5 linked regions of the Zea mays genome follow. The main gene of each other region encodes a partner of the protein of the gene in region 2 in a complex. Links are inferred from orthologs where the notes say so. Each region holds a gene or a part of one and is shown on either strand. Other genes may lie near its edges.

What was found. Proteins that work in one complex are often made in the same cells at the same time.
Region 1: 50S ribosomal protein L5 (region 2) and 50S ribosomal protein L27, chloroplastic share a complex: the UniProt entries of both Arabidopsis thaliana proteins name them as parts of the 50S ribosomal subunit. The link is inferred for Zea mays from reciprocal best matches to the Arabidopsis thaliana genes AT4G01310 and RPL27.
Region 3: 50S ribosomal protein L5 (region 2) and 50S ribosomal protein L13, chloroplastic-like share a complex: the UniProt entries of both Arabidopsis thaliana proteins name them as parts of the 50S ribosomal subunit. The link is inferred for Zea mays from reciprocal best matches to the Arabidopsis thaliana genes AT4G01310 and emb1473.
Region 4: 50S ribosomal protein L5 (region 2) and 50S ribosomal protein L31-like share a complex: the UniProt entries of both Arabidopsis thaliana proteins name them as parts of the 50S ribosomal subunit. The link is inferred for Zea mays from reciprocal best matches to the Arabidopsis thaliana genes AT4G01310 and emb2184.
Region 5: 50S ribosomal protein L5 (region 2) and 50S ribosomal protein L9 share a complex: the UniProt entries of both Arabidopsis thaliana proteins name them as parts of the 50S ribosomal subunit. The link is inferred for Zea mays from reciprocal best matches to the Arabidopsis thaliana genes AT4G01310 and RPL9.

The regions. Positions count from the first base shown.
Region 1 is NC_050103.1:167,360,501-167,363,912, forward strand, and holds 50S ribosomal protein L27, chloroplastic, read right to left. Parts: upstream 2,214-3,412; 5' UTR 2,152-2,213; coding exon 1,858-2,151; intron 1,017-1,857; coding exon 915-1,016; intron 806-914; coding exon 629-805; 3' UTR 501-628; downstream 1-500.
Region 2 is NC_050096.1:5,387,174-5,390,385, forward strand, and holds 50S ribosomal protein L5, read right to left. Parts: upstream 2,028-3,212; 5' UTR 1,925-2,027; coding exon 1,619-1,924; intron 1,489-1,618; coding exon 1,288-1,488; intron 1,132-1,287; coding exon 787-1,131; 3' UTR 501-786; downstream 1-500. Other genes in the region: glycoside hydrolase, family 28 precursor, read left to right, coding at 1-429. UniProt on the Arabidopsis thaliana protein: Binds 5S rRNA, forms part of the central protuberance of the 50S subunit.
Region 3 is NC_050098.1:202,897,642-202,901,728, reverse strand, and holds the start of 50S ribosomal protein L13, chloroplastic-like, read right to left. Parts: upstream 2,801-4,087; 5' UTR 2,695-2,800; coding exon 2,470-2,694; intron 1,987-2,469; coding exon 1,801-1,986; intron 1,235-1,800; coding exon 1,064-1,234; intron 281-1,063; coding exon 164-280; 3' UTR 1-163. Other genes in the region: uncharacterized protein LOC100285659, read right to left, coding at 3,500-3,756, 3,863-4,087.
Region 4 is NC_050098.1:221,940,151-221,942,782, reverse strand, and holds 50S ribosomal protein L31-like, read right to left. Parts: upstream 1,351-2,632; 5' UTR 1,293-1,350; coding exon 1,203-1,292; intron 1,097-1,202; coding exon 794-1,096; 3' UTR 501-793; downstream 1-500. UniProt on the Arabidopsis thaliana protein: Binds the 23S rRNA.
Region 5 is NC_050100.1:222,785,531-222,789,673, forward strand, and holds 50S ribosomal protein L9, read right to left. Parts: upstream 2,801-4,143; 5' UTR 2,729-2,800; coding exon 2,585-2,728; intron 2,059-2,584; coding exon 1,931-2,058; intron 1,618-1,930; coding exon 1,572-1,617; intron 1,326-1,571; coding exon 1,228-1,325; intron 1,048-1,227; coding exon 1,000-1,047; intron 907-999; coding exon 786-906; 3' UTR 729-785; intron 643-728; 3' UTR 418-642; downstream 1-417. Other genes in the region: methyltransferase WBSCR22, read left to right, coding at 1-26; Chaperone protein dnaJ A7A, chloroplastic, read right to left, coding at 3,451-3,496. UniProt on the Arabidopsis thaliana protein: Binds to the 23S rRNA.

The DNA.
Region 1 (3,412 bases), on a different chromosome or scaffold from region 2:
TATGACATTGCATAACTTCATTAGAGACAGTGCTCTACACGATAGAGACTTTGATGAACTAGGACCTAATAGCCTTGGTCATGATGTATCTGTAGGTGAGAGTAGTAGTATCACATCTGATGAGTTAGACATGAGTGCATTTCGAGATGCAATTGCTAATGCATTAGTGCCGTAGTTAAATATGTAAATGTAACAGTAGTTATGTTGTAATGAACTCCACTAATTATATGTAATGACCTTTTGTTGGTTCGGTGTTAATGTGTATAGTTTCTTCAAACAGAATCTGCAATCTGAGAATCTGTGTATCCAAACACCTAGATTCTAACGAACAGCTTTTCCGCACAGCTGGCGAACCAAACACCTAAATTCTAACCACCAGCTTTTCAGAAAAGCTATTCAGAAAAAAGCCGAACCAAACACGCCCTACGTGGAGTGGTCTAGGAAGTTGGAATAGACCCCCACTGTGACTCTAAAGCACAACTACCCCACAAAAAGTACAAGTAGAACATATCCATTTATCTAAACAACACATGTAAATATGACCTTTATAGATCATGTGGTCTTACAATTAAGGAAGAAAAAGTGTAACAAGGGCTGTGAAAAAGAGAAACACCACACAGGAAACTTATCAGCAGTCCGCGCTGACCTCAGAGTTTTCATCAACAGCAGCTAGTACCAACTGAGGCTCAGCGGCGCCCTCCGCTCTCGCCTTCTTCCGTTCACGCCGCATGCGGAAGTACTCTCTCTTCCTTGCTCTGTAACTGTTTGGGTTTTCAGGCTCCTTCTCATATGGGTAAACACTAACCTATGAAAGGAGAGGTAGTGAGATGAGCATATATCTGGTGTGCAACCAGATCTCAGTCAGATGCAAGTAAAAGCAGATTTCAGTATGTAGTAACTAAGATACAGCTAACCTTTTTCTTGTCCGGCCCATACTTCTCAAACTTGACGAGTCCATCTATCAAAGAAAAGAGTGTGTGATCCTTGCCCATTCCAACGTTATTTCCAGGATAGACCTGAAATGTCCAAAAGATTTTATTTTAAGAAAAAACTTAAAAACGGCAAGGAACAGACAGACCACAAAACGGGGACCAAAACGAACTCTATACAAGGGACACGATGGTATAAACCATGTAGTATCCATAATATATAAACATCTTAAATATTTGAAGCGCGCTGGTAAGTAGGACGGACCAACCAAATCGTAAGACATGTAAGTTCATGAAATATCTTTTACAAGGATTGACCGACCATCTTACAGTATGCCTAATATTGAACAGCTATGTCTGACCATGTGTGCAGAGTAAGGTGGGTGTTTAGTTCAAAATTTGTTGGATTATATAACCTGGGCAGATTATAATCCCAAACAAACACCCCCCTAAGTCACCACCAGTTGGCTCCATAGGGCATTGAGGTTAGTACGTTACATTCCCCAGCGAGGTTTGTGTGTGCACTTTCCCCTCCCGTTATCTGATGTATGCAAGAAACTGCAATCTTTTCTTTCCTGCTTTTGCAGAGTGGTAAACTATGGAAAATGCAGATATGCACAATGGCAGCATACATTCCAACGTAACATGTGCAATGGCAAGCATTCTAGGTACATCGTAAGATTCTAGCATTCGCAGTCCGTAATCCGTATGAAGGTACTGGTCGGTGGTTAATATGCTTAACCTGCATCAGCAGCAGCAGCAGCAGGTGAGCAGCAAGCAAACGCTAGGCAGAGAGAGCTATGTCGCCCAGCAGAGCCAGTCAACGAGGTACCATAATCCACGCAAGCAAGAGCCTAGGCTGTCTTACTAACCCAAAGCAAACCAGTAACAGGTAAGGGAAGCGAAGGGAGCAAGAGGGGGGCAGGACCCTGGTGCCGCGCTGGCGGATGATGATGGCCCCGGGCTTGGCGAGCTGGTCGCCGTATATCTTGACCCCGAGGCGCTGGCCCTTGGAGTCGCGGCCGTTCTTGGTGCTCCCGGCCCCCTTCTTGTGCGCCATCTGGATGGTGAGCCGCCGCGCCGGCACCGGCACCGGCACGCCCGCTGCGCCGCCGACGGAGAGCGAGGCGCGGTCGCAGCGCGGGAAGGAGGAGGTGGTGGTGGTGGGCGCCAGGGAGAGGCCCTTGAAGGCCCCCGCCAGGGCGAACGCCATGGAGGCCATGGGCCGCTGGAGCGGAGGGAGGCAACGTGGCAGCTTGGGAAGAAGACGGGGGAAGAGAGCAGATGAGGCGGTGAGGTACAGAGGTGTGGGCGCTGGTGATAACGGAGTGGAGAAGGGATGCAGTCGGGAGACGTGGGCTCGTTCGTGGTTGGCCCAGTGTTTTGGGTCCTGGAGTTTTTGGGCCTTACTTGCAGATGGGCCTCGTGGTGCTTGCAGAGTGTCTGGCCGAATTGGAAGGGAGGGAAATGGTGTTATGCTCCTGGCCGGTTTTGGTCCTTGTAGTTTTAGGCAAGGCAACACAGGATTCACGAAGGAATCATTCAGGGGGAAAACAAAATGATCAGTGTGGTGGTGTTTGGTTCATGATATGTAACGTAAGTGGTAACGATAATGATTCACATTCAAGTACCAACGATAATAAGTCTGAATAGGCTCAGTTAGAGTTAAACAAACATGATATGTGAACCAAAAGGGCATCATCTTGTTCCTCCCTCCGGAGCTGCACAGAGAGACGCTGAATGGCCACAGCTAGCTAGCGTCGGCACGTGGGGAGATAGCCGGGGAAGCTAGCTAGAGTGACAGGCAGGCTTGTTGTGGAGCAAGAGCAAGAGCAAGAGAAGCAGTAGGCATGATGATGGGCTTGACCGGCGGCAACGGCAAAGCTGGAGCCGGAAGAAGAGGAGACGACCGACACATGGCATGATTAGGATCCTTGACGAAAGCGCGGGAGATGCAGAGCGTTTGGGGGTCCAAGTTAATCATGGCCCAGACCAGACCACACAAGCAAACAGGGCCCTACCACCACCACCACCACCCACTAATAATCTCGTGTTCTCCAGAGTCCAGACGCTCCATCCGCTCACTCGCTGCAGTTTGCACTGTTTACTCCTCCGTCTCCGTGTGCGTTAGATTTCCGGCGGCACTAGGGATGCCAGAAATTTCAAAGAGGCAGCAGCGCACGGCGCTCACAGGCTGCTGCTACTACTTGTACTAGCAGCAGTCACCGCACCGCACGCACCGTCAGCAGGGGGACGGAGAGATGACATTGACCGCCGGCGATCATTGCCTCGTCTGACGATTCGCCGGCGACACCCACACCCGCACCCCACCCCGGCCGGACCCGACCGACACAACGCATTTCCTCTATCTTTTTCCCACTCTTGTTTATTTGTGACAAATTATAGCGTGCTTGCGGTTGTAAAATGTTAGTCCATATCGATCTTTGCCACTGCACGGTGAATAGTTTGGAACTGAAAAGGAC
Region 2 (3,212 bases):
TCCGGCGCCGGGAGGGGCGGCTTCGTCAGGGACATCTTCGTGCGCGGCCTCAGCCTCCACACCATGAAGTGGGTGTTCTGGATGACCGGCAACTACGGGCAGCACCCCGACAACACGTCCGACCCCAACGCCATGCCCGAGGTCACCGGCATCAACTACAGCGACGTGTTCGCCGAGAACGTGACCATGGCCGGCAGGATGGAGGGCATCCCTAAGGACCCCTACACCGGGATCTGCATATCCAACGTGACCGCCCGCCTCGCGCCGGACGCCAAGGAGCTGCAGTGGAACTGCACCAACGTCAAGGGGGTCACCTCCCACGTCTCGCCCAAGCCGTGCCCGGAGCTCGCCGCGGAGGGCAAGCCGTGCGCCTTCCCGGAGGAAGAGCTCGTCATCGGCCCACCCGAGCTGCCGAAGTGTAGCTATTGAGGCCGATTGCCAAAAGAGATCATTGATCATATAGGCTCTTCGGTGATAGTCTAGACAAGCAGTATGAGAAATGCAGCTGAAATACGTTTGCATTACAGTGTCCGTCTCACATTACTGCTTCCTCCGATTACAATGTCTGGCAGTGGTATAACTTGTGACTACAAATTATGCATCAAGAAGAAATCAGCAAAACGGACATGATCATTGCAAACCTTTTTCATAGGTGCACAAGTTACATAATTGACAGACAACAACAGCATCGAATTTGTAAGCCAAATTCTGCAAAAAGATCGGAATTAAAACAAGCTGAACAGAGCGTGTGCAACCATGGGCTGGCTGGCTGGCTGGTTCCTCTCCTCACCGTCGTCCTCCCTTCCCCTTGCCCTTGCTCAGGAAGTGGTGGCGCTTCAACCTCTTCTTCCGGATCACCACGTCGGTCTTGATGTTCTCCGAGAATGGCATGCCGAGGAGGACCAGCAGCCTGAACGCCTCGTTGTCCGTCTTGGCGCTGGTGACGATGGACACGTCCATGCCGTTCTTCTTCCCGCCCACCTCGTACGGGATCTCCGGGAACACGCCCTGGTCACGGAGGCCAAGGCTGTAGTTGCCGTGCCCGTCGAAGCTGTTGGGGTTGACACCCAGGAAGTCCATGGTCCTAGGGAGCCCAAGGTTGATGAGCCTATCCAGGAAGTTGTACATTATCTACAGCCAAGGACAAAAAAAAGAAAAAGAAATGAGCCCTGTACCAGTGAAACGAGCTCACAATTTCCACTTGTATTGCAGATTATACTAAGCTGCCATATTCCAAACTGCCACGAAATACACTCCGAGGCCAAATGAGCAATGGATGAGGCTCACCCTGCCGCGGAGGGTGACTGCGATACCGATGGTGTTTCCCTCACGGATCTTGAAGCTGGCCACGGACTTCCTGGCCTTGGTCTTGACGGGCCACTGCCCGGTGATCATGGCCAGGTCCTTCATGGCGGCATCCAGCCCCTTCGAGTTCCCTGCCTCCGCGCCCAGACCGCAGTTCACCACAATCTTCTCGAGCTTGGGAACCTAGCCGTTCGAACCAACCGCACGACTCATCAAAAGTCAAAATCCTACCACGCCAGCAAATTAGCCTAGCTACAAGGAGGAACGGCGGGCCTTTCCGCGGCGAGGAGGAGCAGGGTCGACGGTCGAGCACCTGGTGGACATTGGTGTAGCCGAACTCCTCGGTGATGAGCGGGACGACCTTCTGGTCGTAGACGGCCTTGAGCCGGTGCACCTTCTGGGCTTCGGATGGGTCGACGAGCACGATGCCGGAGGGCGATGTCGGCGGCTGCGTGGGCTTGGGCGGCGCCTCGGTAGCGGCGGAGGCCACGACGCGGAGAGCTCGGCGGGGAGCCGCGGAGGGCAGGAGCAGGCAGCGGCGGGCGGATGAGGAAGAGGCGGTTGTGGCGACGGCGAAGGGCGTGCCCGAGGAGGGCAGGGTCACAGCCGCGGCTGCCATCGGAGCGGGGCGTGCGGAGGCGGGCGCGGCTTATGCCATGGATGAGGAAGACGGTTGCTGGATAAGGCGTCGGCTGTGCCGCTGGCAGTGGCCAATCCAGTGGTTCTGGGCTAGGCCTTCGTGTGCTCTGGACTTGGACCCATTGAGGATACAGAGATGGCTAAAGCCCATCAAGCCCAAGCCAAGATTGTTTAGTGGATCAATAAGATTAACATCATAATACAGCCTTGTTTTGCTAACAACGAACCTAATATCGTGAATACGTGATTAACAACAGTCATTGAGCTGGTCATGCGTGTAAAAAACAACTTAAAAAACAAGTGTGATCAGTTTAATATTTGATATGTGGGACATGTGCCCATGATGACGTTACATATATATTTTTTAGTGAGAGGTAACCATATATTAAACTGATTACACATGTTCAAGCTAAAGTGCATGACAAAAATAGTTCAATTAGAATCCATAATGGTAGCTTGCTATCAAGATTGTCATGCACTATTGCTTGGTCATGACACACCACATATAAATCAAATAAAATATTGAAAGATTGATATACAAATCAAAATAAAATGTTGAAAACTGAATATTCAAGCTTGAATATAGTAGATTTGTCGTATGTGGTTCGTCGTCTACGTCTCGCTTGGTTGGGCTAGGTCGCTTGACGCTTGGGCCTCGTTGGGCCGCAGGGCAGCTGTGCAGCTCGTTTGGCTCGTTAAGAACCAAACTAAAATGTTGGCTGAGCTCGTGACTCATTTCAAACGAGCCAAGATGTATCAAGCCACTAATGAGAGCGAGTTATGGATCCACAAGTTTCTCGTCCAGACCTAGTGGCAAAGTCTGTGCAATATGATTAGTAGGGTGTAGAGTGGTTTCTAGACTTGCGGGTATCGTACTTTAGACTTTAATAGGACCTCACTCGTGAAGTAGACTAGTTTGTGTACTTTGTATACATGGCCTTACTCTTCTCTTTCAACCATGATTGATGTCTTTAGTGTGTTGGTTGTGTTGGCCCAAAAATGAGATGCAATATTCCAAACTATCGTGACAGGGGTTGTGGACACCCTATGCTCCATGTGACAACACAATTGGATGCCATGGAGCCTAAGGCTGTTGTGTGGGGGATAGATATCCCCCGGGTCCACTAAAGGAGTAAAAGACCTCACGAAAGGCCCAAGGGCCCAATAAATCGTAAGGTCATTCTTTTGTGGGCCTGGGGAGAAACAACCAACAAAGCAGAGCGACGTGATACCGGATTGGTGCAAACCCGAATGGCCCACAACGTCGA
Region 3 (4,087 bases), on a different chromosome or scaffold from region 2:
TGAATTTCATGCATTGGTAAACATCAAAATTACAAAGAGGATTTATACTCCCCCCCCCCCCCTCCCCGATCAGAGGCATGGTTATGAGGATAGCATTCCAAACAAAGGGCAAAACCTTCTGGGGAGGAATTCGCCACTGCATCCTTTTCAGTCGATGAATTCTCTATCCAGTTTTTTGTATTCTTTTATCCCTGATCGGGAGTGGGACAGGTTTTTGAGCCTCGTGCGGATGTTCTGTCCCTTTGTATACCTTGAGGTGGGTAAATAATCTTCTTCCCAGCTGCAAATTGGCAAAAAAGGTGAGCATATAAATGTAAATATAACAAGTATATAGCACATAACAAAACTAAGTTAAATCAAATTTGCCATCAACAAGAAAAATGGAATGGTTAGGGGGGATGCTTCAGATAACAAGATATTTGCCTGCCATAATGTGAGTTTCAGTAAACGCATCCATACTACCAAACAATTGAACTAAGAAGCAATTTGCAAGAAAAAGGTTAATAGGCAATTTTTATGGAGTTCATGCAACACACCTTTGCGAACTTAGAAAAAAAAAGATCGGCAAGATAATTAACTAATTCAATCTGGACTTGTTAATTTTGTTCAATAACAACATTCCCTTGAATTTAGTACTGTGATTTATTCTGAATGTCACGCTTTCACTGGGAGGTACATGCTGATGCATGAGCAATGTTCTGACTGCAATACACTTCAGGGCTTGTTCGTTTCGCCGTTAATCCATGTGGATTGAGTGGTATTGAGTCGGTTTAAATCCATAGCAAGTCAAAATCCATCCCAATCCATCCCAACACACCAATCCACATGGAATTGAAATAACCGAACAAGGCCTCACCATTAACTATAGTAGTTCTCAATCTCAAAAGAAAAAATTCACATCTGCTAACTAATACCAAATTGTAATTTTTGGGACCTTAAAATAAAGGTCACCAGGAAATTTGGTTGTCATTTTCATATTTGGCATACATTATAACATGCGCACTAAAACGAGAAAGAGAACATGTAGACCTGAGGCAATCAGCTAGTAGATGTTTTTTCTTACCCTTCCCTTGGGGAGCATGCCACGAACCGCATGTTCAATGATTCTCTCTGGAATTCTTTTCTGAAGTTGGTCAAAAGTTTCTTCTTTCATCCCTCCAGGCCTTCCGGAGTGCCTCCTATAAAGCTTTTGTGACCGCTTTTTACCAGAAACAGCAACCTTATCTGCATTGACCTATGTGAATAGAAAAGGTTGTTAATGACTCTCAGCATTGTAGTGTAACACAATAATGCATATCATCTACTCCATCTGTTCCAAATTATAAGATGTTTTGGTAATTCTAGATACATAGTTGTTACTAAATATCTGGACATGAATTATGTCTAAGTGCGTAGCAAAAGTAATGGATCCAAAAAAAATCCAAAAAGTCTTATAACTTGGAACTGAGGGAATACGTGGTAATGAGCCTTTAGAGATGCACCAGTCACAAAAGGACTATGCTAACATAAACATTAAACACAACTACAGTTGAAGATTATTTGAGGAAGGTTACTCACCTCAGTACCAAATAATCTGAGGGAAGTAAAGCATGTATACTAAGGCCCTGTTTGGAACCTCTACAGCTAATAGTTAGCTGCTAAAATTAGCTATACAGGTTCCAAACACCCACAACTAATTGTTAGCTAACTCACAGTTAACAATTAGTTCATTAGCTGGCTCAACCCAGCTAACAATTTGTTAGCTGGCTACCTGTTAACTGTAGGGATTCCAAACACTATAGGTATTGAGAGAACGCTTACCACAATAACAAAAGCTCCCATGTCTACACTAGGAGTGTAAGTGGGTTCATTCTTTCCCCTGATATGTACTGCAATGGTGGATGCTAGCCTGCCTAGGATCTTGTCTGTTGCATCAACAACATACCATGTCTTCTCGGTAGTTACATGATCTGCAGCCTTAGGATACCAGGTTGTATTCCATATGTCCTGCAAATTAAATCACTGAATCAGATTTCAGTAGACACAATTACTTGTGGAGTAATTCATTAGAAGAAAGAACAAGGCATAGTACAAACAAACCATTCACTTTGTACCCATAGTATTAGTAACTGATCCTAAACAAGTCACAATTATGAACAGGCTGGTTGGCAACCATCAGTTCACTTTGACTTGCATGTCCAATTAAGCTCATTTTTAATGAATTCTCTCTCACCACAAACAGCCCATGGGTAATTTTGGATATGATGGCACATGGCAGATAACATATATAATGTACGCAGTTCTATTGTAACTTGATTGCCCTTCATCATGCACATAAAAGGATAGTCGAAGCCTCTGAGGTGGATTAAGATGGCCACGGTGAAACATGAACAAAATAGGATGGACACTGTCAGTCCAGGGTTACAATCCTGCAAAACGAGCTGTGAAAATGTGCACATTGTTTCAAGAGAGGAAGAGAGAGCGTCGTACGGGGCCGCAGAGCTCGTCTCCCTCGAACATGAAGCGCTGCTCGCGGGGCACGAGCGCGGCGAGCGGCTGCCTCTTCTGCTTGTCGCTCTTCTCGCACCGCACGGCCAGTCCCACCGGGGCGGCCCGGCGCGGCCCCACGGACGCGGTCCGGGTCAGGCGGCGGTGGTAGTGGCGCGGGGCGAAGGCGGAGGAGAGCAACGTATGGGAGGCGACGGCCGTAGCCATTGCGGCACGGCGAGCGAGCGGCAACAGGAGGAGGATGTGCAGACGGTTGGTTCAGTGGGACGCGGCCATTTTTAGGCGCAGTGGGGAGCGTCAAGCGGATAAGGGGATAGGAGACAAAGAACAGGGAAAGGTTAACAAGAACATATGGGCTTCATGGGCTCAGAACGAAATGCAGATTTGGCCCATTACGACACCTTATCAGCTCATCTGAGATTTAAACGCTTCCTTTGAAACTCTTCCCAAACTCAGAATAATGGCGGTTCCATAATTCCATCTAAAAAAAAGAAATTCAATGTATTACTATTGGGCAAAGGGAGCTGCATTAACAAAATATAGCTTCAGACAGGACCATATTTTTTTCAAACGATTCCGCTGTTCAAGTACCAATTAGAAACATCGGTAATCAGAGAAATTCTCGAGTCCAAATAAAATGACGGGAACAGAACTTCCATTGCTGCTAGTTTCCGCGACAACCATCAGCAGCAGAAGCCGAATTAATTGATAACGGACACCATTTTCACATGTTCCATCAGGAAACGGAAAGGAGGCAGAAAAGTGTTCATTCTCTTCTAACCAAAGAAAGCATATCTTTTACATATATAGTGGCAACATCGTGTGATTGCGTTGCAGTGAAGCAACAGCTTAACGTGTTTCTGGTTCAGATCCAGGATTCCCTCGCAGGAAGAACGCAAAGATGATAATATACAACAACAAAATTGTGAACCAGAGATGTCGAGTATCGACGATTAGAACCATATGTAAATCAATGGTTAGTTGGCTACCAGCAAATGAACTGGGAGGAAGGTTACGAAGTAGTAGAAGACCCTGAATTTGTCTGTGTAAGAGGTTTTACTTTCCTTGTGTGACCCAAACTATTCACAAGATCCCTGCGAGTGCATACAGGAAACATGCTCAATCCATGCATGTTTAGCCGCCACAAAACGTATGGAAAACTGAGCTGATCACGAGATGTGAAGCGAACCACTTCATTAAACCAAGCACACATGAAATGGTTCGTTGCAGGGGTGAGTTCCCTCACAATAACAGAGGCTTCGGCTAGAGCTGAAAAATCAAACGGGTAAATTCATTATAACAGTTCGGAAAACATATACAGAGATATTCCACAGGAGCAAAAGAACAATTGTTTGAGAAAGATTAACAGACTGACCTTTCAGTCCGTGCAATCTTTTTGTGTCCGGCATTCCATCTTGACGATACCGAGTCAATTGTACCTCTACCTCTTCAGGGGTAGCCTTGTGCTTTTGAACAATAGCTTTCCCCTCATCATATATGTTACTCCGTGCTCCATGTTCAGAGATAGCAAATGTAGAGTTTGTCCTCCAAAGAAGAGCTTCAAGCATTCCTATAGGATCTCTTCGTAATTGGTATTTAG
Region 4 (2,632 bases), on a different chromosome or scaffold from region 2:
CTCGAACATTATCCAAAACGACAAATAATATAACACCGGAGGGAGTATCTATTTGCTTGTCGCTATCTATTCTTATTTCCGCCACATTTTCTATCAACGTAGGAAATAGAGTGAATCAGAGCTAGTGTATGATATTATCTTCAACGGTTTATTAATAACAAAATAAAATTACTTACTTTTCTTTTGTCTAGATTAAGCCAATAATATTATAGTCATTTTGTTTTATTTTATAGAAATTAGCTTGAATTATATGTTGGTGCTAATTGTTTGTAATGGCATGAGATTTTACAAATATTCTATTCCACCCATATGGCCGTATGTCACGACATGTTTTATATATCATGCAACACATGGACACTCAATTAGTTCAGTCGCATGGAAAAATTGGTTGTATAAAACTATGACTCGGAAATTGGATCACCTAGCAACAGGAGGCTAGTTTGATCAAACAGTATGCGGTATCAGGTTATCAGCAGACGACTCAAGCTGTAGTCAAGCATCAGCGTATACTCCTAGTGAGAAATATCCATTTCCTCGAACCAGGATCATTTGCTTGTTTGATCAATACCATCCTACCCTAGAGTGCATTGCAGAAAGCACATTGTATTTGGGGGCCCATGATCAACAAGACCCTATCTCGTGAAGTAGTAGTAATTGTACATTTTCCATTCCGAACATTAACCGAACACCTGGAGAGCAATGCGAACAGACAGAGTCTCGATTCCATTCAAGAGGGCAAATGTAAACTGGACCGGTGACCACGCACCGGGTGAGGAAGACGGGGAGCCATCAATCAGTTGTCCCCCTCGGGCTCGAACTCCGGGTCGCCGTCTGGGTGCATCTCCCTCCACTGGTCCTCGGGCCAGTACTCCTTGATGTGGCCCCACTTCTTGCGGAACTTCTCGATCTGGCTGTCCATGACCACGAGCGCCGAGGTGTCGCCGACATAGTAGGGGTGGTTTCCGGACCACACGTCCACCGTGTACTCCGGCTTGGTGCCCCCCGTCACCAGCACCAGCTCGCCGTTGCAGTACACCTTCGCGTCCTCGTAGATCTCCGGGTGCAACCCCTTCTTGCGCATCGAGCAGCGCATCCCCTGCACCGCGCCGTCCAGGTTCCGGACTCAGGAATTAGCGGCGGCGACGACGAAGATCCGTGCAGGAATGGCGAGAGGGAGGGCCGGTGTGTACGAACGTGCGTACCTGGGAGGGGACGACGGAGCGTAGGGTGCGGGCGGTGGTCCTCGCGGCGGCGGGGATGGGGAGGAAAGAGGTGGAGAGGGAGAGCGTCATGGCGGACGATGGCCTTGCCTCGCGACAGTCGCTTCGGCTGCCTATGTTCTTTCCTTCCTCTTATCTATCGCCTTGCTAATGTTATCCTCTGGCGCTCGTCGATTCTCTCTTTAGGTAGCGTTGTCTAGGCTTGTTTGGGCTCTATATGTTCATTAAAGTCTGTCTGTGGTTTGTTTTGGGCTACGTGGAAATGCGACGGCCCACGAAAAATCCAGTGCCCAATTTCTCCTTCAGTTATTTCCAGTTGGCGGCCAGCTATACTAAAGAGGTATAGCTATGCGGTTTTTTATTTATCGAAACATTTCGGATCAAAATTCTCTTTCATAGATGTAACGTCGAAGAAAGTACACCACCAGAAATGAAAGTGTTGGTAGATGGTTGGTTGAATTAGTGGGCCAAAAGAAGAGAAAGTTGCATGCCGTGTAGAGTCTGACTTAAATATAATTAAGGAATGATATGCAAACTACAATTACAGTTGTTACGGTTTTCTTAAGAGTATAAAATTAAATAATTTAGAGCAACTCTATTAGAGCAACTCTAGTAGTTCTCCAAAAGATTCCTTAAATCAATAAATAATTTAGGTAGCTAAACTAAAAACTCATCTCCAACAACTCTCTTAAATGAATTTTCTAAATTTAGCTACTTCTCATCTAATCTCAATTTCTCCCTACATTTAGCAACCATTTATCAACTTCCTAAACAAAAAACTGACGATAACTTTTGTATTTTGGTGTTTTTTCACTTTGTAGTAGAGATATATTAACAGAGCACATTCGTCGGACGCCGACGATGTAAAATTGTGGCAGGTAGTCAACTAGAGATTAACCAATTGCCAATGCAATAGCCGCACGTGCACATGTTAGAAATAAACGAATAAACAATTGTGATAGTAAATAAAAAAGCCAACATAACTCACCAATTAAATGTGTCATCACTAATGGTCCTACTCAAACTAGCGTCATGTTAATTAAAATTTAACATATTTAGAAAGTAATAGATAGAGAAATGTTGGATGAGATGATTTTTTCCCCTATATTATATGAGAACTTGCTATATCTAGGATTTAGGTATTATTATTATACATAACTATTGTAGTTGCTCTTACTAAATACTATACTCTTCTATCACCTTTTGGTATATCATTATTCGTACGTCATGCTGCCCTAAGTATTCATATATTTTAACTTTGGTTTGTTTGGCTATCTCTATTCATTATGCCTTGTTGATAATAGATCTAGCTAAGTATTCATATATTTTAACTTTGATAGGTGCAATTTTATATTTGTTATTTATCGATTAACTACATCTACAAAGATTTATTCCATGTTGTATGAGTATAA
Region 5 (4,143 bases), on a different chromosome or scaffold from region 2:
GGCGTAAGCGGAAAGGCTATTTCTAGCTCTGTGCAATGCCCCCTTGCCTGCAATGCTGGCTGTTCAGTTATGATGCTAGTTCATTTAGCAGAAGCAGAAGGATTTTTGTAAAGGGTGAAGCGAGGAGTTGTACTGGTATTCGGGAGTCATTGCATTTTTAGACAACGATGTGAAACTGTCATTTTTGTAGAACGTGGATGTTGAGATGAATACAGTTGGTTTGCGTGAATCTGTATCAGATCGCTGGTGACGCCCAGACTTTGGCTAAAAGAAACGCAGTTCATGTGTCAAGTACGTTGGTGTTCCAATCTGAATAACGCTCTATGGAGCCCCATACTTAGCAAATTTCTTGCCTTTTTTTTGTAGTGGATGCAGACGTAGAGGTGGGGAAGGTTAGAGGACAAGAAAGAAGGGTCGTTTTTGGCGAAGTAGTGCTCTACAGTTCAAACAAATTGTTCTTTACAACAATTTATATTTTCCGCCTCAAAATCAACAGATATAATTGTTGAAAACTTGACTTCACACGGTAGGGAATAGGATGCGCAGTGAGCCAGTGAATTGTGTATCAAAACCAGGCAAGTCACGGCCAGACCAGGCCTCATGTCTACCGCAGCACCTGGCACTTGCAGCAAAATCTCTGCACTAAACAAAAGCAACTGTGTAAGAGCAAGACCAGCGGAATTCTAAGAGCCAAATCTCAAGGAAAGAACAACGGCAAATGAGCTCGCCTGGCAAACATCAGGCTTCTCCAAAGTCCATTACTCGAGGTTCTGTAACTGCTGAGCTCATTTCGCATAGACATTCAGCCTTACTCGCGCTGTCACGTCTGGGTGAAGCTTGATCTCTGCAACATACTCTCCGATTTCACGGATTTCTGGAACCGTCACCAGCTTCTTGTCGACATCCCTACAAGACACAGCGTGCCAGCAGTAAGAGAAGCAATATAATGATGAGAAACGCTATTAAGATTGCCTAGGAGTTAGGAGCATATGCACTTGCCTATTAAGTTGTGACTTTATTATGTCAACAACATCCTGTGCCGTGACACTGTACAATAAAAGATATCGTCAGAAAAGTGAAAGTAAGACTATACCCAGCAGATAGTGACACTATAGATTGCAGTGTGTACAAAGTAGAGTTTGAAATGAGAGATGGAGATGGGTAAGCTGTAAGAGATAGCCTGAGACAAGAGAGAATAAATAATGGATTGTCCAACTTAGAACTTGCCTCCCAAAGATCTGTTTTCCTTTTCCACCTTTGCGAGGGAGTTTGAAAGCGCCAATGGTTTCAAAAACTCGAGCAAGTTGTTGCGCGTCTTCTTTTACCTATGTAAATAGAGGACTTCTTAAGGCCATAATTATAAACAAAAACTGATAAAAATGCATTGATAGAATTTCATGAACATATCATGCTTAGGACTTAAATTACGGAGGACATAAAGGCACTATATTTTCTTTTCATAAGGAAAGTAAGGATAAACTGCAATTGAAGTTTACTCTCCAGACAAAGAAAAAGGTCGCTGAGGTTAAATTGCAACTACATTTATTACTGAGTAAAATATTTTTTCCTACCCGCTTCTTCTCAGCTTCTATTCTCTCCTGCTCCAGCTGCATTTCCCTGCGAAGAGAAGTAGAGGCAATAAATTCATTCGCAATCTTACTTACCCATCGAATCAAACAGTATGTGTGTCGACCATTGCAATTCTATTAGAAAGGTGCATGGATTGGATTCATATCTCAATCTAGTTTTGCTAGGTGCCTAGGTCCCAAACCTCAGAGTCAAACTAAGCATACCACAGAGAAGGTCATACGGTTGCCAGCAGCCACTGAATCATTTGACAGAGTGTGGACTTTGCAATTACTTGAGGATTAAATGACATAACTAACAAAGCAAAGCAAGTGAGGGATAACCGAGAGCTGGTAGCAATTACTTGAGGACTTCTGGGGTCAGAAGTGTAGCCTTGCCCTTGGGAAGGAGGAAGTTGCGGTAGAATCCAGCTCGCACCTTCAGTGTATCCCCTTTCTTCCCCACCTCTTCTATGTCGTCTGTCAATATGACCTATGGGAAAGAATTGTTTTTTTTATGGAGAAAGGTAAAATCACATGTAATGCTAAGGGTGGCGGTAATAGCTACACAAGATAAGCACCACATTGTCAATTTAACTGGATGCACCGTTGTTGCATTCTTGTACAATCAGGCAAACACAGCAAAAGGAACGACTTATGAACTGAACTCCAACTAGTGAGGCAAGGCTCCCATCAAAGGTATTTCATCCCTAGTATCTAAATCCCCTGCCTAAAAGCCTGGTTAGTAGTAGTAGTAGTACAACTCTTGGAGCATCTAAATTGTGCGAGCCACTATATCTTACCTGTTGCCAGTGAGACAGCTAAGCTAGCTAACTTCATTTGTATCTATTGATCACAATATACAAACGTACCGACGGCGGTGCATCAATTTTTTTAGAGAAGAAAACTAAAACGCGGCAGGTTATGATGCCCTCAGCAACCCGCGTGCATTAACTGATTGCTAAGATGAAATCAGCACAGAACTCGAACATAAGAACACGCGGAAAGCCCGGGCCGACCTGGCGGTACTTCTTGACCTTCCCCTGGGCGACGATGACCAGCGACGGAGCCCGGCGAGAGGCCGTGAGGCAGCGCCCCGCCGAGGGCCGCGGGTAGGAGGCGGGGGTCCAGGGCAGCGTGGAGGCGCACGACAGCGACGCCATTGCTCTCGCGCTTCGCTACTCAAGCAAGTGGCGCTTCGGTCGCCTCCTCCGCTCGCACCGCTTTCCTTTCTTATCCATCCACTGACTTCGCGAGAGGCCTAAATAATGGTTTGGGCCCGGAAATGAGAAAGCGGCGGCGGCGGCCCAATCGATCTGGAATGGATAATGTCACGGCTCCGTAGAGCCCGTTTCACAGCTTCTCTCGCCTGTCGCGCTGCGTCCATGGCGGGAGCCTGCGCGGTCGCCGTGCCCGGATCCAGCCGCGTGAACTGCCGGCGTGATAGCCCTTTCTCGAAACTGAGAATTCGATATCACCGAAACGTATTTCTAATAAATAGTTCCATCGCATCTTGTAAGTTGGATAAGTTTGCAATTCGATATCGGTGAATTTGATTAATCCAAAACCTCAAGTACAGTGTTTGTCTAGTCCCGGGGTTTGGGATCAGCATCCCACAGCTTCAGACTTCTACGCCGCTTGCCAGACTGAAAAGGACTCCAACTACATAAAAATAATTGCTTGGCAAGAATGACAAGGGACCAACGCCGCGACGATATTAGTTGACAACTTTCACTCCCTCGGTTGCCACTCAGCCTGAAAATCTTGCAGCTCTCCAATAAAACGAATATACGAGCTCGTGGGGACCCCCAATGAATCTAAGAACTTTGATTGGACTACAGCACCATGTAAGACAATCTTCTATCCTGCAGTAAATATTTACAGCCTACAGGTTGTCGTTCAGCCACTTCGCAGCGCCATTAACAATGGACCTGAAAGAATTCAACATCTAGGTCAGAATACAAGAGATAACCCAATCACAAAAATGTCTGATGAACTAAATCAATCAACATTTTTTCCTCTCGAACTCAGCCAACCTTTTATTTTTCTCGAACACAACTAACACAGTTAGGATGGCTCAAATTTCAACAGAGGTTATGCATCTGCATTCAAATCTCCCATTACTACAGTGTAATTTCCCCTTTTAAAGAATACTCGGAAATGTAATGCAGTGACCAAAAATATAGTTCATTACTACAAGATTAAGTTGGGTTGGTTCAGATTTCAATAAAAGAGGCATCTGCATTCAACTTCCCATTACTATTTACTACACTAGACCGGACGGGGCGCTCCGCTGCGCCAGTTTCGAAGTGCGTGAAAGAACAGGTAAAGTGATAAGTCGTTCAACAGCGATCGGTGAACAGTAATATTCAGAGATACATCAGCCAACACGCGTGAAGCCACGGCCGCAGGCTGGATAATTTAAAATGCAGGCGTGAAGAGAAAGGCGTTCAGATTTTAAGAAACTTAATTTGTAATTTTCCCTTTTAATAAAGGAGTACGTGAAAATGTAACGGCTGCCATAAACAACTAGGTAGTTTATACTTTATACCACCAGAAGTCCAGAACAGGGAAGTAT